Drosophila melanogaster: one gene and its partners. The protein of the gene in region 2 interacts with the protein of the main gene of each other region in a pairwise test. Each region holds a gene or a part of one and is shown on either strand. Other genes may lie near its edges. The genes, in order: E23, KP78b, cas and CG6191.

Region 1 (4,960 bases), on a different chromosome or scaffold from region 2:
GTATATAATACACATACGTGTATATAGTCGACTAAGAAATTAAATTAATAGAAAATTTAGCAAATAACATACAAAATGAAAGACCAAGAAACTATTCACATTCCGACATCGCTTAATAAAATTTGTCTAGAAATTCAATATTTGCCGTACGCTCACACGTACACTTAGAAAAATGGCCCACCATACGCACTAGCACACATCAGAAGAAGAAAAGAGCAAATTAAGGAGAAAAAGAAAGAAAATAAGAATCTTATCAGCGGTAGAACAAAAACAAAGTTCAGTAAAAAAAACGAAACAAAAACAAAAAGAAAGCCACCAGAAGTCGAGAGCAACAACAAATTGGCTGTGTGTTTTTTCAAGGTTAAGAGCAAGTGCGTGTGCGTGAATTGGTGCCACTGTATGGGTGTCTCGCACATTTTGCACATTGTGCGTATAAATAAAAAACAGTAACAACAGTAAAACCACCAACACAGCAACAGGAAAAAATAATTTTTTTTATAGAGAGCCGAGAGCTACGCACCGAAAACGAGAAAAAAACATAGCGGCAACTTGGCGACTTATTCGCTCCAAGTTTATGGCAACACAATAAACTTAATAATTTCGCTGCAAACTGAACAATCATCATTATTTAGGCCTAATATGCAATTGTGCGTTATTTTCCATCTGATTTGGTCAACGACCCAGCGCAGGTGACACATTTTAAGGCTTATAATTGTATTATCGTTCCAAGTTCTAAGTGTAATCTCCTCCTCCCTCGTTTTCCCCTTACCGCCCTCTGGCCACCCACGCACACAATCGTATCCGCGGATTGCACGCACACACGGTTCGTATACGCATTCAAATTGCGTATACGCAGCGGTTACCCTCGAGTTTAATGACTGATAAGATTGGAAAGCGGGCATTTGCCTAACAGCATTAAGAAGAAATTATGAAGCGAATCTTCTAGAGACTTAATTTGTTTTAATTGTACCCTATTAAAGGCTCGCAGACCAACAAATATTTTATTGTCAACTTTAATTTCAAGTACTTAAAAAAAGGTATAGAAAATTTCATTGTTGATCCAACTCCTTGATAAGTACAATATAATTTGTAAAGAAGAAAAATTGCCTTCAAAAGATATCGAAACGTAGGACAGACTCAAAAATTAGTAAAACTTTTTGTTTCGCGAGACACATTAAATCGCCCGAAAACCGCTTGCTACTCCAAAAACGTCTCGAAACTTGTTGAATGACTTCTGGGTTGCCAGCCAAGACCTTAAATTTCTATCACCAAGTTGAAATTCGAGATCAGTCAAACTAAATAACCAACTTTTATTGGTTCGCTTTATTTATCAACGAAGATTACCAAAGTTCGTTGGGAACTGAATATGGATAACAAAATGTTGAGCCCTGTTACTGTTAGGGAACAGCAGGGGAAGTGATCTCGCTGTAAGCCCATAACATTTGTAATGCAATGTACGCAGAGATAACTTAACATTCATGTAATAGAAAGAGAGCAAGGGAGAGAGACTGCACTTAAAAAAATATAACTACTTATTACTATAATTCGTATTAAATAGTGTTTACACAAAAGAAGGCCAGGGATTTTTAATTTTAACGTAATCAATTATTTCTTAACTTACTTTATAAAATTTTAACTTTATCATCTAATTTTTTAATTTTTATCATTTTTCGATACTGCAGAGATATCTCTTACATGCCTTCTGAATGCAAGCCATAATTTGTTTGGTTTTTCATTCCTCGACTTAAAACATACACCTTAGGGCGATTTTTCTCGGTGCAAGCTCCATACGCACGTGTGGTGATCGTAGGCGGCGAGAATGAGTGTGGGGGGAGAGTGCGCGAGAGCGAGAGCGCGAGAGAACGGGAATGAATGAGCGGCGACTTTTGGAGCGCTGGCGCAAGCGTTTAGCTTTAACGGTCCGCGATCAGTTCAGTACGTTCAGATCAACGGGCGCCGTTGGATGTTTTCTTCAATGTTGAAGCGCGCCGAACTCGCGTTGTGTGGAAAAGCGGAATAGCTCTCTGTTTTTCGTCGTGTTTCTACGTTACTTTACTTTTCGTTCGATCTGTCCGTGTTTCGTTTCGGCTTTATAAATCGAGTAATTCCCCATCCAATAATTAACACGCGTGTTATCAAAAATGTTTACAAGAAACCTACATATGTTCAATAAGTAAGCCGAAAAAAAAAGGCAAAGAAATCATTTAAATTGCAAAAAAAGTGCTGACGATTTTTAATATCAAATTCGAAAAAGCAACAAAGAATTTTATTACCTTCCTTCGCTTTTTGGGTGCGTTGTTATTGCAATTACTGCATTTACCTTATATTATATGTTGTTCAAACACACTGAAATCGCTAAAAATGAAAACTGACGTTTTGCTCTGGCGCTTTGTTTCGCGCGGGCTAATTGACAAATATAACAAAATTCGCCAGGCGTCTCCACTTCTCTCTGATTCTCCCCAATTCTCACCGATATTCTGCGATTCCTTTTCATTATCTTTTTCTGTGCCGGTGGCAGTGCATATAGGAAATTGTCGGAAAAGTTCTCAAGCCAAAAAGCTGTGTAGAATCTGAGTTTTTGAGGAGATTCCTCGAAGTCGAGGCAAACATTTTCAAGTTTAAATAAATTATTAAAATTGCAGAACGTTTTTACGAATTAAGTGAAGCCTGAAATGAAGTGAATAGTTTCGGTGAGAGCTGGCGAGCATCTGATTCCAGTGAATAACAGAGATATCGCATGAATAACGCGTGAATAATTAGCACTGCAACTTGAATAAGCAACGAATTCCTAGTAACAATAAATTATAAATTGAATGCAATTCACTGGGATTGTGCAGCAAAAAGCAAACTGCTCATAATAATAAAATCATCACTTTGTTTCCGTGCTTGCCTGACTTTTTACCTTCCGACATCATTGTCGAAAATGTAAATAATTTTGTGTATTCATAATCATGTAATCTCTTAAATCTTAAAATTATATCACAACTTGTTTCACTTGGCTTACATATTAATTATATCTGTACTCTTCTCTGCTCTTACTATATTACAGTCGGCCACAACTCGGGAAAAGAAAAGAAAAAGGAGGCAAGCCAGACAAGCCAGGGAATTATGAAATTTTAAAGAAATCCCCAAAAAAGCCAAGTTCCCAGAGCCGCAAAATATGTTTAATGCATTAAAATAAACGAAACGAAACGAAACGTGTTTAAGGCGAGTGCAGGCAGAAGACGAGCAAAAAGTTGTATACGCATATACACATAGATATATTTAAACAAGATTTACATTTAAAATCCCCCCAATACACACGTACGTATATTTAAAACTGTGGCGGCAACACCAACAACATCCAGCTAAGCGTTCACAAAAAGGTGATAATGATTATTTCCAAGGATCTTTTCATATTTGGCGAACAAATTTTTGCAACAATCATACCAGAAGGTGGAGCCGCGGCGCTGGCAACCCAGCAGCAACATCAGCAGCAGCATCAGCAGCAGCATCAGCAGTCGCATCAGCAGCCGCATCAGCAGTCGCAGCAGCAGCAGCAGCAACAACAGCCGGCAATTATAAATTCAACAACGACGACGGCCACTTCGTTGGTAATAAACTCGACAGCAGGAGCAGCTGAACAAGTTGTAGAGGAGTCATTAAAAGTAGCAGCAGCAGCAGCAGCAGCAACAACAACAACAACAGCCGCAGCAGCAACAACACTACCAGCTAAACAGGAAACAGTTGCAGTTGCTGCCGCCTGTGTTGCTCCTCGCAAATTGGCAAAAATTCAGAAAATTCCAAAGGAACCCGAGGAGCTCAAAGCCAAGAAAAAGGCAAAGTGTGAGGCAGCAGCAGCGGCGACTCATTACGAAAAAATGCCAATGAATTTGATGATCGTGGAAAGTGTTGAGGCAGTCGATATGGGATCATCGGACAATGACAACGAGACAACGGAGCAGGTACCGTTGGTGAGTGCCAGCCGTCGCAATCTGGCCAAAATAGTGGCCGACTGCCGCCTCCAGATCGAAGTGGAGCCGGCAACATCGGCAGTGGCCGCAGCAGCAGCAGCAGCAGCAAGCGTTGCATCCCCGCCTGCAACATCGGATGCGACAGCAGCGACATCGGTGGCCAGCAGCGACTCCTCTGCCTCATCATCAGCATCTTCGACGTCGTCGTCATCTTCCAGCTCAACGTCCTCAGAATTTACGCACACATCACAGACAACGATACCAAGTACGGATAATCTAACGTCATCCAATGGTCTGGCCAATATAGGCAAAAGCATTTTAGTTGATGCCAAAAGGTGAGTGTTCAATCAGCGTTGACCCAATTTCCGAGCCAAGCTCGTACCTACATAAATTCAGGTGTGTGTGTGTTATGTTTTGTTTTTTTTTTTTGTGTCCGCACTGATTGCATGCAGACTTCGTCTTAATAAGGAGGGGAAAGTGGAGGCGATCCAAGGGTAAATCAGGATTTTTCCAAAAAAAAAAAAAAAACAGTTCTCCGGATGAATATGTGGCGTTTCCAACCGGTTGCATTCGGTTGACAGTGAGTTGCAGCTCGTTTTGTACAGTTCGAGCGGGAGCAAATTACTCCTACTCTTGGAGCTCAATGGAGAATCTATGTTCTTCTACTCTTGGAGCTCGATAGCGAATCTATGTTCCTTTTGATTGAATCGGTTCGTACTCAAGCTGTCAAGTTTGCTTTCAAAGTCAGCCATCAATTGCGATATACTTTTGGCTGAGCAGTTTTAGCCTGCCCTAGAATTTCAATTACATGAAACAGTGTGCCTTTTCGTTATCAGATTTTTAGCAGGCAGTGTAGGCCCGAACACTTTTGCAGTATTAATTGATTGCCCATCGGCTCGAAAACTCGTTCTAGAACTGAAGCTTCCTGCCACTAACTAGGGTATCACTCAGCACGTTGGGGATATCCCCTTCGGCAAATCCGAAAGGCAGCCGTATCTGCTTAATTA
Region 2 (7,589 bases):
TCGAAGTCAGCTGCAGTTGCAATCTGCTTTTTCCGCATTCAGCACGATCAAATATTGCCGAAGAAAGATATCGCATCCTGATCAGGTGGCGCGTGTCCTCTGGTGGCCAACTGTGATTTCGTCGGTCGGATCGCATTATGTTCACCTATTTTTTGGGGCGTCAGCTGGTGTGCGTGCCACGTGTATCTGGCGGATACTTTTGCCAAAGGCAGCCGCCTTATCGACTGCATGCTGAATTACCCGCTTTCTCATTAGCATTTCACTGTGGCCTACTTGTCTTGGCTTCTTCGGTTCATCTAAATGCAAATTCTCCCCCACCAAAATTCCCAAAACACCTTCAATTTCGAATCTCAAAGCCAAGAGAATATTGTTAGTTTCCAACTGGCAAGCAAAAATTTCTTTCAAATAAGTTCACTTTTTTAAGTTGACTTTTAATTCTTGAAATGAAAGTGCTTGAATATGGCGATGAATTAAAAGTTCTCATTTTCTTGCCTTCAAACGATATGCACTTTGAATGGAAATGTTCTTGAAGTTAGGGTTAATTTTTGTTCCAAGTGAATGGCCAAAAGCTTTTTAATTAAGCCCTGCCTTCAAGGAGGGGACTACGAATCGGGAATCGAGGAGAAATCACAGAAAACTGTTATTATAATCATCGTCTACGTCTACAATCGGACCAACCAACACCCACCCATCCAATCCTTCTTGTCGCCTACTTTGTCATTATAATTTTTCCTTTCAGCCGGCCAAAGCGATGCCCAAATGAAAGAAATTTTTGCGGGCCAAAAGAAATGCATTTTATTATTATTATTGTTATTTGTTGTGGTGACTTTTTAATCATTCCCTACCAAAACAGAGCGCTCCAACGGATTGCGTTGAGATGGTCGCGGGGGATGGGGCTGTTATTCAAGAAGCACTGGAACCACTGGCCGATTCTTATTGGTGCACCAATACCACTCGGACAGCTCAGACAGATATGGCCATCGGCTACTCCCACACCGATGACACGATGACGACACAGCTGTTGACGACGAATGGGGAAGTCTTGATGGCACACATACACCATCGCAGTCGCCAGCACCACCACCGCAAGATAACCCATACCAATGAAGAAACTCAAACGAAGACGAAGACCACGACAAAGGCCAAATTCGCCGCAAAGACGAACAAAGACGAAGCACGAAACACCCGAAGTGCCTCCCCTTCGCATCCGTGACGTCACACCTCAAGAAACGCTCAAGGAAACGATATTGAGAGAAGGAAGAGCAACATAATTCAAAAATTGAGTGAAAAGAAAGAGAGAAAATCAAACTGCTTAAAATTTTAATTTTCTCTTTTTAAATTTTATGTTTAAAGACGACGAAAGAGAAAAGTTGAAGCAGGCGTAAATCTTAATAATGCGTTTCTTTTCAAATCCGCTGCACGAGCACACGATCGCAATCAGTTGGCCATTTTTTTGAGCGTAAGAAGAGCACAAAGACGCTCTTCGCTCTCTCTTTGCTCAGCCCGTCTCAGACGTTTCAGTTCCAGTTCAAGACCTGTCTTCAGATATTCCGCTCAATGCGTTTCAGTACTACGGCGCGCCTTGTATCTGAAAGTTCGGTCTCGCTCAACGATACGGATACGAAACGATATGGTACACTTGTGGAGTGGATTAACGCTAATTCGTTTTTGATTGCCGCCAGGGGGGATCGCCAATGGACCGATGCGTAAGTAAAGAGCGTAATTAAGCAAGCACGCGGTGGTCACTGTGAGTTCCAGAGTTTCGCATCCATTGTCAGATAAGTCCGATCGTATCCCTTGGGTACCAGAATGCCTTATCTTGCGTCCGTTGTGCGTGTCTTTAAGGGGGGCGTTCTTTGGATCTCAATACAAGAGGCGTTTTATTAAGGTCAGCTAATGGATCAACTGTATGTATCTGTATCGCTTTGTGCGAAGTAAGTGTGTTAACGAATGAGTGCCAGACAGAATGAGGCGCCTGAAGATCCCCAAAGTCGCCGATGACTCAGTGGTTAAGGAAAAAACAAAGAAGAACGGCCAGAGAACCAGAATCAAAATAGAAGAAGCCAGAAGGAAGGAGAGGAGAGGCGCATTCGGAAAAAACAAGCCAAAGATCCCATGGACAGGCAGAAAAACAAAGGCGAAAAAGGGGGAAACGAGATGGGAGACCGAGACCCGCACATGTTCATGTTGACATGTGTTGGTATCTTGGGAAAATCGAGAGAATGTGTGAGAGAGAGAGGGGGGTCTGGTGTGGGGTGGGAAAAGTGGGGGTAACTCTAGGTGGGGTGCATTGAACTTGGCGGCAAAAGGGGAGCGATCACTAGCCCAACAAGAGATCACAGTTCCCAGAATTAAAACCAAGCCAAGCCAAGTACTTGTTGTTACTGTTGTTGTTATTGCAAATTTCCACAGATCTGCGATGTTGTTATTGCGAAAAAGAGAAAAGAAGATGATAGGGGAAGCAAAACAAGAAGAGCAGGCAAAAATAATAAATACAAAGACCCAAAAGTAGCAGCTGCATTTTCAAAATTTCAACATTTCACAAAAACTCAAAAACACACACATACGCAAATACCGTAAGTGAGAGAGGGATACGCAAAGGAGCTGAAAAAGGAAGCGAAGAGCCGGAGGAAAAGGAGACCAGACAAAAGGCAAAGCAGGGATGACGAGAAAAGGTTGCAAGCAAAACAAGTCAGCAGGATCAAGGACACGCAGGCCCTTACACACACACACACACACACGCACACAAAGGAGCAGGCAGAGAAAACCTGAAATCGTTACACAAACGCAAAGCAAAAGAGAGAAATGCAAGCGAACGAGTAGGCCAAAAGAAAAGGCAGATTAAGGACCCGTTCCTTTGTAGTACTTTATTTTTTACAATACATCCATAGGTAGGTAAAACCCATTAGGGTAGTTTCATCATAGGTAATGACGTGCATGTGTGTGTGTGCGTGTGTGAGTGTAGCTAGGGATCGGCAGGACATGCAAAAAATAAAATTGAAAGAACAGAGAGGCGAAGAAAATACTTTGTCACAAGGGAAGAGATTAGTTTTTCAGGTCGATTGAAATTCTGTTGTTAGGGGAGAGAGCAAATCACTTAGTGCACAGTGGTGCAAGGTCTATAGAAATAATTTGATAGATCGTCACTATATTATGAATACAAGTCAAGTTTTAAAATTTGTCGATAAGAGCAAATACGAACTGTAATGCAATATTCAAATGTTTCTGTGAACTTTCTTAGTGATTAGAAAAATACGGATAAAAATATATACTCTCGCAAACAAAAATTCGTATGTATAATAAATAAGTCATATTTTTGATAGTTTTTTTTTTGGCATTCCCTTACAATTTATAATTTGGGACTAGTCAAATAAACAAATTTTCACTGAAAAAAAAAAGGTTGCTAATTCGGTTGTAAATGTACATTTAACTATTAGTTTTATTCATTTGAAACGAAATTACCCTAATACCGAGTTTCTATAAAGAGCAACCATTGAATTCCCGATTCCGATTACTTCCAACATCTAATCGAATCATTCTTCTCTCCATTCACCAGAAGGCAGCTGTTACTCCTCGCTGACGAAGGAAACCGAATACCACCAGCTGGGATATATCCTCGCCAGTCGCAAACAAGAACAACAGGGGCACACGATCGCACCGGAGGATCACAAAGGGCTCGTGCCACATGAAGCAGGGGGTTGTTGATAGCGCCTCCTGAAAGAACTAACGACTCATGCGGTCGTGCGTCGAGACAAAGTGATCCTGCCGCAAGGAGCAGGACGAGCCGCTTATCAGCCATGCACGGGATTCGGGGTGGCTGAGGGTTGCAAACACGCGTTCTTATCTTAAAGCTCAGACTGTCGGGAGGGTGACGAAATAGAGCAGATGTGCAAACAACGGCCCCGATGACGGATGACCGACGAAACCCAGCAATTACAGCTTGAGGGGAGGCGATAGTTACCATCCAACGACGCGTGCTCGGCACACTTGCAGATCCACTGAATAGGAGCAACGTTCGCCTGGGCAATCAGAATCGACCTCAGACTAGGAGCTCCAAAATTCCCAGTATTATAATGTCCGTGGACAACAGCTTGGGAATTCTAGACTTATCTTCGGGTAAGGAGAGTGAGAAAACAGCAATGACAGCAGCAAACAAGGAGAACGATCCGGATTCCCATTTCACGGGTACTATCGTCACAACAGGCGCCACTGCTCAGCCAGCCACGCCCACTACCTCAAATGCCACCGCCCTACCAGCCACGCCTACTGTGGCAGCTGGCCAGGATTTGGGTGACGGTGCATGTAGTAGTAAAAATACGGATTCCAAGTTTCAATCGTACGTAAATGGCAATGGCAATGGTGTGTACAAGATCATCAAGACACTCGGTAAGGGAAACTTTGCCAAGGTCAAGTTGGCGATTCATGTGCCCACCGGTCGTGAAGTGGCCATCAAGGTGATCGATAAGACGCAGCTCAATACGAGTGCACGTCAGAAGCTGTACCGCGAGGTGAAGATCATGAAACTGCTGAACCACCCGAACATCGTGCGCCTCTTCCAAGTCATCGAGTCTGAGAGGACACTCTACCTGGTGATGGAGTACGCGAGTCGTGGCGAGCTATTCGACCACCTGGTGAAGAACGGGAGGATGCGGGAGCGGGATGCCAGGGTGATCTTCCGACAGTTGGTGTCCGCCATTCAGTACTGCCACAGCAAGTTTGTGGTTCATCGGGATCTGAAGGCGGAGAACCTGTTGCTGGACCAGCACATGAACATTAAAATAGCGGACTTTGGCTTCGGCAATACCTTCGATCCCAACGCCCAGCTTGAAACGTTCTGCGGGAGTCCACCATATGCTGCCCCTGAACTTTTCATGGGCAGGAAGTACGCCGGCCCGGAGGTGGACGCCTGGTCGCTGGGAGTGGTGCTGTACACTCTCGTCAGCGGTTCGCTGCCCTTTGATGGAGGCACCCTAAAGGAGTTGCGGGAAAGAGTCCTGCGGGGCAAGTACCGTGTGCCCTACTACATCTCAATGGACTGCGAAAACCTAATGAGAAAGTTCCTGGTCCTGAATCCCGCCAAGCGCACTTCGCTTTCTGCTGTGATGTCGGATAAGTGGATAAATCTGGGCCACGATGAATCCGACCGATTGCGTCCGTTTCGCGAGAAGCCCATGGAGCTGCAGGATGCAGCCCGGTTCGATTTACTGATGAGCATGGGCCACAAGCGCCGTGATGTGGAGCAGTCTGTAAAGGGGCAACTGTTCGACGACATCTATTGCACATACATGCTCCTGGGCGTGGCCAAGCCGCGCTCCTCGAACCGCAGTACGAAACCGGAGGCTATACCAACAGTGGATTTAACTACTCCAGCTGTCAGTAGCCCGCTTCCTAATATCACCACACCCACTGTTACCATAGCTCATGTCACGCTTGCGCTGGACAAGAATCCGCCCATCCACTCCTCCTCAGCATCGGGTAGACCCATTGCGCCACGTTTGGCAAATGCACCCAATACACCGACTTCAACGCCACCAACGGGACCGCCTGCCAAGCCCACAAGACGCACTCCAGCCAGGACACCAGCCCGGAAGGCCACCAACCATACGAGCGGCCAAGGACGTCCGGAGCCTTCGAGTCTTCCGCACACTCCGCAGTCAAAGAGAGCCAGTGCCAACATGGATGTGAAGCCCACGCTGCTGAGTGCCCAGCGACAATTGGCCCAGACCCAAAAGCTGGCCAACACTCCTCCGCGCTTCCAGTACCCCGTTGCCCAAACTCCGAATCAAGCTCAGGGATCCTCCAGGCGGCCCACGACCCTGTACGAGAAAGCGGAACCTGCAGTCACTCCACTTCTGGTGCCCAAGTCGCCGGCCATGGGTGCTCGACTGCTAGAACGGATTCCCGGAGGTGGAGCAGTGGAAAAGACCTCCGACAAGCCCTTCACCCGACAAAATGTGGCACGGGCCACTTTTCATTTCGGCCAAGCGCGCAGTGGCAAACGGGGCGGTGGATCAGGAAATGGCGCAGGCGGAGAGGAGGACAGCTATCAGACGCCACCCTTATCCGCGGACGACACCAAGCCCGCCTCGCGGGTAGGTTTCTTCTCCAAGCTGACCGCACGTTTCGGTCGAAGGGTAATCCACTTGAACGAAAAGGATGTCACCGAGCAGCGCAAGAACCTCACCAAATAGCCAGAAGTCGGGTTGTTTGGGGCAATGTCAAGGTGATAGAGATAGAATGATAGAGTGATAAAGAAAGTGATACAGTCGGCCCTGACCGAGCATTCTAACGAAATTAAGTCAAAACTCAGCAAATCAGTTTGTCTTACAAGTGTGCGGCGAACGCTTTGCTGGGATTTAGATAAATTAATCCTACCAGAAATGACGGCAGCAAACACAAACAAAACGACCGACAAGGAGAACGATCCCGGTCCCAATACATCGATATCCACTACCGCCACGCCCCCTTCTGCAGCTGCCCAGAATGTGGGGGGATGTTTTGGGAGCAGTGGAGGCAGATCGAGCCCTAAGTTTCAGTCCTATGTAAATGGCAACGGCTACGGAGTGTACAAGATCATCAAGACCCTTGGGAAGGGCAACTTTGCGAAAGTCAAGTTGGCGATTCATCTGCCCACCGGTCGGGAAGTGGCCATTAAGCTGATCGATAAAACTGCGCTAAATACGATTGCCCGGCAGAAGTTGTACCGAGAGGTAAATATAATGAAAAAGCTCAACCACCCGAATATTGTGCGCCTCTTGCAAGTTATCGAGTCGGAAAGGACTCTCTACTTGGTAATGGAGTATGTCAGCGGGGGAGAACTCTTCAATTATCTGGTCAAAAACGGAAGGATGCGGGAGCGAGATGCCAGGGTGCTCTTCCGCCAGTTGGTGTCTGCTATTGAATACTGTCACAGCAAGTCCATTGTGCATCGGGATCTAAAGGCAGAGAACTTGTTGTTGGACCAGCAAATGAAATTGAAGATCGCTGATTTTGGTTTCAGCACCACGTTTGAACCAAAAGCGCCACTGGAGACGTTCTGCGGAAGTCCACCGTATGCCGCCCCAGAACTGTTCAGAGGAAAGAAGTACTCTGGACCGGAGGTGGACTCATGGTCACTGGGTGTGGTGCTGTACACCTTGGTGAGTGGTTCCTTACCCTTTGATGGAACCAATCTGAAGGAGCTCCGCGACCGTGTTCTACGTGGCAAGTATCGTGTTCCGTATTACGTCTCCATTGAATGCGAGAGTCTTATTAGGAAGTTCCTCGTTCTGAATCCAACGCAACGTACTAGTTTATCGGCTGTCATGGCGGATCGCTGGATCAACATGGGCTACGAACAAGGTAACGGTTTGAGACCGTTTCAAGAGAAACCTATGGATCTGCATGATGTAAATCGATTGAGTTTGCTGTCGAACATGGGTCACAAACCTCGTGATGTAGAGCAGTCGCTGAAGAACCAGAAGTTCGACGACATCTATTGCACCTATATGCTCCTGGACGTTGCTAAACCGCGCTCAACAGCCTGCAGCGAGAAATCGGGATCTTCGTTTAGGGAAACTCCTACGGCTATGCCAGGCAGCAGTCGGATT
Region 3 (6,290 bases), 5.6 Mb from region 2:
CTGAACTCGTCCTGCGATAACTCCAATCAACTGAGCTGGCCAGCAACAACACTTAACAAAGGCGACTAACAAAAGTTTTCTATTTCGAAACATTTGTAACTGAATATGAAATTGTCATATGTAAATTCCAGATCCAAATGCAAAAGCATAAACGCGAAGTAAGACTGTGAATGAACCTAAATGTATGGGCTTTTGTTCGCATTTTCATGCAGATTTCCGTACTCCGTTGCCATTTTACAATGTGGCATGGAACCTTTTCTGTAATCAATAGCTCCCAACCCGCTTTATTTGCCTCTCTGCTCTGGCTGCGTTATCCATGTCACTCAATTATGGCAACAATTGGTAAATCCCAATCCCACTTCAATCCCAATTCGCCAACCAAGTGACAAACCATATCCAGGCCTGATCCTGCAGCCTGTACTCTGCTCTGCTCTCTCACCTTGCCCATTGCCGAGTAAAATGCAAATCCAAAATCAATCGTACTCCGCCCCTCGTCCTCCGGCAATCGATTCGTCGATATTCGGGGATTCCCTTCCTGATTTGCATAAGTTTCCAGATAGCGCGCGTGCGCAGTCGATCGGCGCACCCGAATCCGTAATGCGGAGCAAACCCTCCTCCCCGATGTAGTGCAGGTCCATTTGCATAACACTGGCTGGAGGAGCTGGTGATCCGGATGTCGAACTTCCTACCCGATCGCCCGCTCCGCCTCGGGACGATGTGCCAAAATTATGCAAATGTTTTACACCAATAATTTATGCAAATTACGATCCGCAAAGGATTTGGTGATCCTGCGCAGCGGATGTTACACGTAGATGTCGCCAGCTTCAAATCGAAAATGTTTTTTAGGGGTTTGCTCAAGTTCAGAATTTCTGCAAACGTTTTTTTATATGGTAATTTTTTTTTGCAATGGGTCTTAGGAAATATTTGGCATTTTTAATTGTGTTTTTTTGCACGATTGTAATGCAGATTTTTTGCTCGATTGTAATTTTAATTTGCAAATTTGGGTTTTTATTTTTTGCATTTGAATGGATTTCGATTCGATTATTTCAAAAAGGACAGGCAGCTGCTCCAGCTTGATATCCTTTTTGCAACGCGCCAATTTCTTAAAAATCATTTCGATTCCCAGTTTTGCCGAAATTTTTGTGCACACAATTTGCATAGAGATGTGAAGGAAAAGGGAACAAAGATGCGATTCTATACTTTAAACGTTCTAAGATTTGATTATATTTATGGTAATAGGCGAATAAGATTGCCGATGCCAATATTTAGTGTGAGAAAGTATTTTTGAAAATCTTTTTTGAAATCGCTTATGAAAAAAATACTGTAGACGTCGAAATATTTAAAATATTCATCTTAGAATATGTATTTTTTGATAGAATAGAAAATATATAGAGATAATAACAAAAAATTTAAAATAATTAACTATACAGTTTCTTGTGCCCAGATAACTTATTTACCCACTTTCTGCACGTAACTTTGCCGTAATTTGCCGTAATATCTTTGCAAATTGCCTGCGATTTTGGATAAAATTCCTCTGCTGATCTGTGCTCTTCTTTCATTTGCTGTCCCTTTCTAACGCACGTTGGCCATGCGGGATTCCTTCACAAATACACGCTCCTCTTTCGCATTTTTTTTTACCGAAAAACCTCTCTTTTCTAGATAAATTTACATTACCGCTGGCGTTTTATTGGTCGAGAAAAGCGAGCAAAAAAACGGAAACCAGCCGAAAACAAGCTGGGTTTTCCCAGAGCATTTTCCTGCGAAGGGTCGGTTAAAAAACTAGGGGATGAAGGTCGAACCACCACCACCAACGGACTTCTCATTTTATTCGTTTTTTAAGAGAGCGAGAGCGGCGAGATCGGTTTTTTAAGAGAACCGGTGGCGAGAGGGTTGCACTTGGGCATGGATTTGCGCAATTTTTGCTATATTAGCCGGAGGCCGCGGAAGAGTTGAAGCAGTTTGAGCCTCGCAGCCGAACTTTGAGGATCGCTGAGACGAGACGCCGTGCAAGAAAGTCGATCCAAAATCCGAAATTCGAAATCCGTGCTGTGATCTGTGCTGAATATAGTGAAGAAATCTTAAAGAATTTTCAAAAAGAAATCCCAGTGCTGTGCTGAATATATCCGCGAAAGTGTGCCACAAAAATGTCCAACCAAATGGAGTTTATTATGCAACTCTACATGATGAACTTGATGAAGCAGCAGCAGCAAATGCAGCTCCAGCTTCCGCAGCAGCAACAGCAGCAGCAGCTGGCTGGATACACTTACACACAGAACGAGGATATCTCTAGCAGCACATCCGTGCAGCAGCAACAGCAGCAGCAGCAGGAGCAACTGCAGCAGCCACAGCCAGATCTCCGCAAGACAAGAACGCACAAGCGCATTAGCTCGCAAAACACCAACTGTAGTAGTAGCCGTAGTTGTAGTCCCAATAGTAATTTGATTGCTTTTCAACCACAACAATACCCAGGCGCTACAGCGGCAACTCCTTCCACTCCCAACAGCCACCCCAGCAACCTGGTCAACCAGATGCTGCTCCAAAGCCTGCCGCCGCTGACGCAGCTCATGTTGCAGCAGCAGCAGCAGCAACATTTGCTGACCACCTCCAACCTTCTACTAACACCCACCCACACCCCCAGTTCGCTGGGCAAGCAGGATCCACTGCAGCATCCGTTGTTGCTGGGCCAGTTTGCCGGCTCCGAACAGATGGCCACAAATAACTTCCTTCAATCATCCACAGTGACCTCCACGCCCATCGAGAGAGAGAAGGCAGCCACACCAGCACCCTCCGCCGGAGCAACTGCCGGCAACCTTTCGGCGGCCCAGGTCAAGTTTGAGCAGGAGTCCGCCGACGACGATGAGGACGATGATAAGCCGCTGTCCAGCCTCACCAGCTGCAGCTCCTCGGGCCACACCAACGCCAGCTCCGAGAAGCTGCTGTTGTCGGGCGTCCATCCGCTGGAGTCAACCACCGACAGCCTAGACTCACCCAGCATGGTAAGTGATCCGGGGATCTAGAAGGATCTTAACAGTTTCTTTTATCTCGTTTTATCACCATCAATTTTAAAGATACTGTCACTTGCAGTGGCAACTACGTAGTCAAAAAGCTATATATTGCGCATTTTTGTATTAGTACATTTGATTTAAATTCTAAATTCATCCCAACAGCTTGGTTCGCCATACTTCACAAACCTTTTCCAGTTGCAAAATAGACCATTTTCCAATTTCCAATTCAGAAAGCACTATATTTGTTCCCTATTTTGCTTTGTTTTTTTTTTTTTTTGGCTATGTCCCACGCTCTGTTGCTGTAATTTGAGAAAAAACGATTCGTGATTTTTGAGATTTAAGTGTGAGAGTAGCCAGAAAGCTCGCGATTCCGGGGAAAAGAAACAGCTGTGTCGGCAACGCGTGGGTTCTCTTGGTGGCTCGATCGCTGCCCAGCTGGGCACCAGGCAGTCTGAGCTGGGGATCTCACAGATGCATCCGTGTGTTGGTATTGACTCTAAAGTTCTTCCACCCTCTTTTTCCCACTGCAGTATACGCCCGTCAAGCAGCCGGCGGACTCATCGTACGGACTCATCACACCCGTCGACAGTGATCTGACCCCCAACACACCCCTCCAACCGACCCAAACAATATCCCTGCTGACGCCGCCGTCGAGTGAGCAGAGCAAGAGCCTGGTGAGCCTCTCGGCGGCCAGCGGCCTGGATGCTCTGCTCCAGAACGAGGAGGTACTGAAGAACCTGCGGAAAGTGTCCTCCTACCTGGAGTGCGAGAACAGCCTGTGCAGGCAGGAGAACCTGCGGGAGCACTTCCATTGCCACGAGGAGCCCTGCCAGGGCAAGATCCTGAGCAAGAAGGACGACATCATCCGGCACCTGAAGTGGCACAAGAAGCGCAAGGAAAGCCTCAAGCTGGGCTTTGCCCGCTTCTCCTCCTCGGACGACTGTGCACCAGCCTACGGAGAGGGTTGCGCCTACAACTGGAAACAGACCCACTACCACTGCGTCTACGAGCACTGTCCCAAGGTGTATGTGAGCACCAGTGACGTCCAGATGCATGCCAATTTCCACCGCAAGGACTCCGAGATCGTGAACGAGGGCTTCCGGCGCTTCCGGGCGCACGAGACCTGCCGCATCGAGGATTGCCCCTTTTTCGGCAAGAAGATCTCCCACTACCACTGCTGTCGCGAGGGATGCACCCACACCTTCAAGAACAAGGCCGATATGGGTAAGTCTACTTGGAAAGCTTATTAGCTGAACTTAGTTAATATATCATATATGTATTTCTCCTTGCTTAGACAAGCACAAAACTTACCATCTGAAGGACCACCAGCTGAAGATGGACGGCTTCAAGAAGATCCTGAAGACCGAGGTATGTCCCTTCGACGCCTGCAAGTTCTCCACCGTCTGCAACCACATCCACTGCGTCCGCGAGGGCTGCGACTACATCCTGCACTCCAGCAGCCAGATGATCAGCCACAAGAGAAAGCACGATCGTCAGGACGGAGAGCAGGCGTACCAGCAGTTTAAGATCAAGCAGGACGTGGAGGAGTCCTCCCTGGATGCCATGCCCCAGCAGCAGCAGCAGCAGCAGCAGCAGCAGCCCACCAGCCTTAGTCAATCCCAGAGCAGCAGCTCTGTATGCGGCGGCAGCAACACCTCCACTCCACTCTCCTCTTTGTCCGCCGAGCACTTCCTGGCTCGGAAACGCGGCAGGCCACCCAAGAAAATCGTAAGTTTGTCTGTATATTTTGGGTAATTTTCCGCGACATTAAATAGGCATATTTTCTCAATCCACCACAGCAACTGCCAGCCGACGCTCAGCAGTCGGAAGCCAAGCGCCTGAAAGTCGAAGACGAGTCCTCTAATCCCGCCATGCTCCTGCCCCAGTCCCAGCCAGCAGCCGCTGTGCATCCGCTGACAAGTGGACTCTTTCCCGGTCTCCTGCCCGCTGCCGCCGCTCCTGGAGTGGATCCCACAGCCCCTAACTTCCAGCTCACCCACCTGATGGCCCTCTTCCAGTTGCAGAATCCCCTCTTCTACCAGAACCTCTATCCGGGAATGACCCAGAATTCCTCCATGCTCGGCAACCTGGCAGCACTTAGCGCCGCATCGGCAGCAGCGGCGGCGGCAGCGGCGGCAAATGGAGCCGGAGTCCAGCAGCCGAAGGCAGAGTTTAGCTTTAAGCCAGAGTTTAAGGAGTAGGAAGGATGCGTGTCCTTAGGGTATTTTGCCAGCTACTTAGTTTGACCGACGGACGTTGGACATTGTACATACGCGCTTTAAGCAGGTTTAGGTGGGTTTTTTTGTGGGTTCAGGCAGATCCAGGACAAGGCATCCTTCCCTCCACAAAAACCAACTCAGCCACACTTTGAGAACCTAGAAGTCCCCTATACAAAGTGTAGCTGAATTGGCTTTTGCCAAACATTTTCCCCTTTAGCTTAGATTCTCTCAGTGCCACATTAATTTTTAAAATTTTCAGCCATTTTAAATAAAAAGGAAGAACTTTCTGAATTTAAGTTTGACTAAACTGTGATGTTTTCATTAGAGTAGCCTCTTTTAATTGATAGAGCGAGTGCAGGCTATGCAGGATATGCAGGACTTAGGAGACTTGGATTGTCAATAACATAGCGTCTAAGCATTACATTGTATGTGATATACTAATAAATAATGGCTAATTGTTTTTGCTTTATAATTTAAGGGAATAATATTATAATTCTAATTATAAACTTTAGTAAAATCAGCATTCTTCTATAATAAATAAGTCAACATTACCTGAATAAATTTTATTATGCCTCAGAGCTTATTATTTAAACACAAAATGCTTGAGTTATTGGGGGTTACTGGAAAATACAATATATAAAGTAACTAACATATATGTATACCCAACCACACATAAAACACTTAAACATTTGATTAAATAATTTATGACTTTATTTTGTTTTCATGTAATTGTTGGTTTTACTCATATGCTAACAGAAATCAGCTACACAAACTCAGGACGCCTGATAAAAACCGTCCCGCTAAGCAATATTTAAGTACTTTACACAAAATCAATTATTTTTTCCTTTGCTTGTATTTTTGTATTTTTTATAGTTCATAATCGCATATATGTATATGTAAACAATCAATACAATCCAAATACCATAATCATAAGCATAACAAAAGAGATTTCAGAAAGTTGTATCCTAGTCAAGAACAATGTACAAGCAAGTATCATCATTTTATACATTAGGTATTTGCTTTTAGTTTACATTGCAAAGTGAAACCCTGCGTGAAATGTACAAAT
Region 4 (4,605 bases), on a different chromosome or scaffold from region 2:
TTGCACGGCCTCGGTGTACGTACTGATGATCTCGGCGGGCTTGTCCTCGTACAGTGTCACCCGCTTGTGCCACTCGTGCACGTTGTGCGGATTCTGGCGCAGAAGCACACTATTCAACAGCAGCAAACGGCGCTCCATGAGGTATTCGAAGCGTGAGAGCCGCAGTTCAACGTCAATGTCGTCCTCCTCGGTGGCCGCCTCATTGGCAGCTACCTGCTCCATACGTCTGTTCAGCGAGAGTTCCTCGAACTGTGCGTATTCATCAAAGACTTGGGTGAAGTCTCTTACGGTGGTCACAGTTTGAATGGCTTCCTCGTATATATCTCTTGCCCGATCAAATAAGCCGGAACGCACATAGTAATCCGCCAGAGAGTTCCACAGGTGGCCCAGCTGATCGGTGTAGCGACGCAGCCCACCGCGAATGATGGCGTCCACGTTCAAGGAGTGCACCTTGTGTGGATTCTTCGAGATGAGGTCGCACAATTCGTTCCACAGCTGATGATTGGACTTGCCGTGTTTGGAAACGAAGTGCTCGTTGTCGACGATGTGCGCCAGCTGCTGGGCAGCTTCGTCCAGCCGATCTGCTTCCTGTAGGTAGTCCACATATTCCTCTGTGTCCTCGGGAAAGAGTTTCAGATATCGACGGTAGACTCGCAGTGCTGTTTCCGGCATTTCAAAGCGGCGTACAAACTGCAAATACAGTGGCCAAATCCTGCCGTGCTGCGTGATGGGCAGAGCCCTTAGAGCCCGATCGAAAACGTGCCGGGTGCGGGTAATCTTGCATTGCGAGGTCATGAAGGCACCGTAGTCCATCCAGATACGTGGCATTTTGTGCATAAACACCAGTGCACGTTCGAAGGCACTGTTGACCTCCTCGTACATGGGATCCGTGGGTATCTTGCCGCGCACCTGCTTCCTGCGAGTTCTCAGGTAATTGTGCCAGATCTTATAGCTGCCAGGAAGCTCTTTCAGAGCACGCTCATAGACCATGTTAACACCATTATTCGGCGCCTTCGCTTTGTGATCAATGTAGCGCAGCCAATGTTTTACGGAGTAGGCGTTTCGAAGGATTTCCTCCTCATACGGCACATCCTCCACTTCCTGTGTGTGAAAAACTTGATAGGTTAGTTGTGATTTACATATATTTCATGGTACTTACGAAATTGATCTCTAAATTCAGAGATTTTATCGTTTTTGTCACCATTTTTCGCGATTTTCATGAAATGCCGCAAACAATAATTTTCTCATGCGCGTCCCACGAAAACAGCTGATCGAAATGGCGTTGCCAGAAGGTTTGAAAAGTAGTGGTATTAAGATACCGCAGCTAATACCAAAGTAATTAAATCCTAATTAACATGTAAACAATATTTTAAGAATACAGAAAAATTGTTCATAAAACTAAGATAACTTTGGCTTGTGTACATTTTTTTTACAAATTGTGAACATCTAGAATTTTCTAAGTGCACCTTATTTAAACGTTGAAGTTATGGACAAACCAAAACAATCGTGAATTTTCTAGAGTACCATTGCGGTATATTTTGCCTCCCTTTGAATTGGTATTTCGCCCTTCGTCCGCTGCCCAACACTGGCCTCAGTTTGTGAATTTTTCGTAAGCCCATCTGCAGATGTTTTCGTCGCTGCTGCCAATATTTTGACGTTCATACCGTTTGCGTATTTCGCAGAGACCAGTTAACGCGCTCGTAAAATCGCAAAAAACACACTTAACGCGATCGTTTGTTCTGTTTTTGTAAACACATTGCAATTGGCCTGCATTTTGCATAATTTACGCAACGAAGGCAACTGCGTGAGTGCACCAACACACACACACACACACACAGCCGTGCAAAAGAGAGCCAAAGAGAGTGAGGAGCGCAGGCGAGTTGGCAGCCAAAGGCAAAAAATCAAAGTCTATCGAAAAAAACACTATAAAAATAGATCAAAATGACGCGCTTGAAACATTTCTCAGCATAGAACGACTATCAATCGAATTAAGTTTTAAGTAATACCCAACGACCGTGGAAAAACCAAGCACAGTGGTAAGTAAAAGACGAGGGGAAAACACGAAAAAACACGTCACACGTGTGCGTGTGCTTGCAAGTGTGTGTGTGCGAGCGTGTGAGTGGGTGGGTGTCATAAATATTTTCGCACACACTTGTTCCTGCATTGATTTTATATTTTTCGCACAGGCTCAAACTTGTGTGTGCCGCCGCACTCCAATTGGTCCAGGTAAATCCAATTAGACTGGATCCTAGGTAAAAAAAAACCACCACCGGAAAATCTATTTCCCCGCTTCCCGAACAGCTGTTTATGATGGTTCTCAAAAATTTTCCACTCGCTCTTGTTGCCCGAGGGAAAATTTTGGGCATTTTAGGGCCTCCCGTATTGAATGTAAACAGAAAACACACACGAAAGTGCGGAAAAGCGCTTAGATTTTCCTTGCCGGCTGTGGCCCAATATCTCTCTCTTTGCCACCCCCTCTCTTCGCACTGTTGCCACCCACTAAACTGACACACTAAGCCGCCCGCCAGCAACAACAGCAACAACAAAGGCGGCTAAAACCACTGCAGCTTTGAGCCGCATGCAGCTTTTTTAACTGCCAGCGGAAAAGCTTTATCAATTCAGTTGGCTAAAATCCCAGCAAAGATTCGGGTTTATTTCAAGGAAAACTTTTAATTCTTAAAATTAAAAATGCCCGTTGTTTTCAAATGAGATTTTTTAAAATGATTATTATGTCTAAAAATTGTAAATAATCTAAAAGAGTTGAAAAAACCATAGCATATTCACTTAAAAATAGCTTAAAAACATTGCTAATTATAAAATATCATATTGAGATGACTTCTGCTAACAATATTATATCATATTCAATATTTTGCCCACTGAGAATGAGAATGTGCTGACCACAATTTCCCCTAAGCCACCCACTGCACTTCAACGAATATTCCAGAAACGCTCGGAGAAAGCTTCTCTTGGCCAAAAGCAGCTTTCCTGCCGCTTTTTATAGTCTCATTTATTGATTCCATTCCTCTCTTCTGTTCTTATTTCTACTTGCAGCCAAAGCAACGCATCGACGCATAAACGCTAGTTAATAATAAAAGTGCATAAAATTATTCGTATTCCAACCATCTTCCGTCATCTAAAGTGCTAAAAATTCGTCACCATGTCGCGTTCAAGTAGTTTGTTTTTTAATTCGGCTGCCAAGTTAGAGACTAAAAAACTTAATTGATTCGATCAAGAAAAGTGAGCAACCAGCAGTGAAAATACACAACAGCAGCATAATCACTTTCGAAACCAGTTTTTTCGTAAAGAATCGCGAAGAGTGTTCCAGAAAAGTGCAACATCACATTCCCACACAGTATATGCACACACACACAAACACACTATATATACATATAGGTACATATATAGCAACATCGGAGCATCCAGGGAAACGACCCACAGCACCCACTTCGGTTAATCTCGCTTGGTAATTAAGGGTTCATCGCCTAATGGCAAGTTCGCTCAACAAGACGAGACACAGGCGCAGACTGGCTGCGATCTCGTTCCTATCGAATATCTCGTTAGATGGCACCCATCGGGACACCAAATTCGGCGCAACATTCGGCAGCAGCCTGCTCTGCAACCAGAATAAGAACCCATCCTCGCTGGGACTCGGCTCGGGGGGCTTTCATCCGCACTATCAGCAGCACCACCATCAGCGCAGCCACTCGGCGACGCACCACAACCACCAGAAGCGGCATCACACGCAGCAGCAGCAGCAACAGCAACAACAGCAACACACCCAACAGCAGCAGCAGCAGCAGCAACATCAGCAGCAGCATCAGCAGCAGCAGCAACACCAGAATGGCGCCCTCTGTTCGCCGCTCCTCTGCAGCGCCGATGTCCACATGGGCATCGATGGCGGCATCGGGCTGGGATTGGGACTGGAGGACTGCACCACCGGTGCCAGCGATGGGGACGGGCATTTTAGTGAAACTGAAAATATGGGTCAATACCTGATGAACGTCCTGCCGGCCGCCGATCACAATCGCAGCAGCATTGTGCCGGCCGAGAGACGCAACATAAAGCGCCCGACCTCGTCGGGTCGTCATAACCACCAGGCACCGGGCAATGGCAATATGGGCAATAAGCTCCAACAGCAGCAGCAGCAGCAGCACAAGTTGCAGCAGCAACAGCGGCAGGCACGAAGTTGCGCCGCCGGCAGCGGAGGATCGGGTGCCGAGAGTGGCAGCGATTCGGACAGCGTCAAGATACCGCTCAAGGTGTCCAATCTGGGCAGCGGCGGTGGCGTGGCCGGCGGAGCGGGCAGCAAGCTATTGCCGCTGAGGGAACGGTGAGTAATCAATGCACAATTCATGTTTGTCATATCAGTGAACTATCTTAGCTTATTATGGTTTCTAATCAGCATTTTGTTAAGCAGTTGCTAGAAGTTGTAATCAAATTAGCTGTATGAAGAGGCAACTGTAAAGATTCTTACCATAAGTTTATATAATATTATAAATGTTATATTAGATCGACTATAAGGGAACCTACCAAAATATTCAAACAGGAAATGTGTTAAGTTATTGCAGCTTCAAATTTATGTTTTTCCAATTAAACGATCTTCTA

Evidence for each region.
Region 1: the proteins of KP78b (region 2) and E23 interact in a two-hybrid assay, tested with the Drosophila melanogaster proteins (one large-scale study listed by BioGRID).
Region 3: the proteins of KP78b (region 2) and cas interact in a two-hybrid assay, tested with the Drosophila melanogaster proteins (one large-scale study listed by BioGRID).
Region 4: the proteins of KP78b (region 2) and CG6191 interact in a two-hybrid assay, tested with the Drosophila melanogaster proteins (one large-scale study listed by BioGRID).

What each region holds. Positions count from the first base shown.
Region 1 is NT_033779.5:3,351,804-3,356,763, reverse strand, and holds the start of E23 (early gene at 23), read left to right. Parts: upstream 1-1,934; 5' UTR 1,935-2,290; exon of another isoform or gene 2,291-2,925; intron 2,926-3,049; 5' UTR 3,050-3,371; coding exon 3,372-4,288; intron 4,289-4,960.
Region 2 is NT_033777.3:11,347,130-11,354,718, reverse strand, and holds the start of KP78b (KP78b), read left to right. Parts: upstream 1-1,587; 5' UTR 1,588-1,706; intron 1,707-3,556; 5' UTR 3,557-4,073; coding exon of another isoform or gene 4,074-6,191; 5' UTR 6,192-6,380; coding exon 6,381-7,589. Other genes in the region: KP78a, read left to right, coding at 4,074-6,191.
Region 3 is NT_033777.3:5,712,467-5,718,756, reverse strand, and holds cas (castor), read left to right. Parts: upstream 1-1,951; 5' UTR 1,952-2,144; coding exon 2,145-2,996; intron 2,997-3,535; coding exon 3,536-4,229; intron 4,230-4,299; coding exon 4,300-4,733; intron 4,734-4,804; coding exon 4,805-5,206; 3' UTR 5,207-5,782; downstream 5,783-6,290. UniProt on the Drosophila melanogaster protein: Transcription factor that specifies expression of key genes in developing central nervous system (CNS). Essential for many, if not all, late developing neuroblastoma (NB) sublineages.
Region 4 is NT_033778.4:13,590,325-13,594,929, reverse strand, and holds the start of CG6191 (uncharacterized protein), read left to right. Parts: upstream 1-1,590; 5' UTR 1,591-2,036; intron 2,037-3,051; 5' UTR 3,052-3,157; coding exon of another isoform or gene 3,158-3,223; 5' UTR 3,224-3,485; coding exon 3,486-4,330; intron 4,331-4,605. Other genes in the region: fand (fandango), read right to left, coding at 1-1,101, 1,160-1,204; CG45088 (uncharacterized protein), read left to right, coding at 3,158-3,223.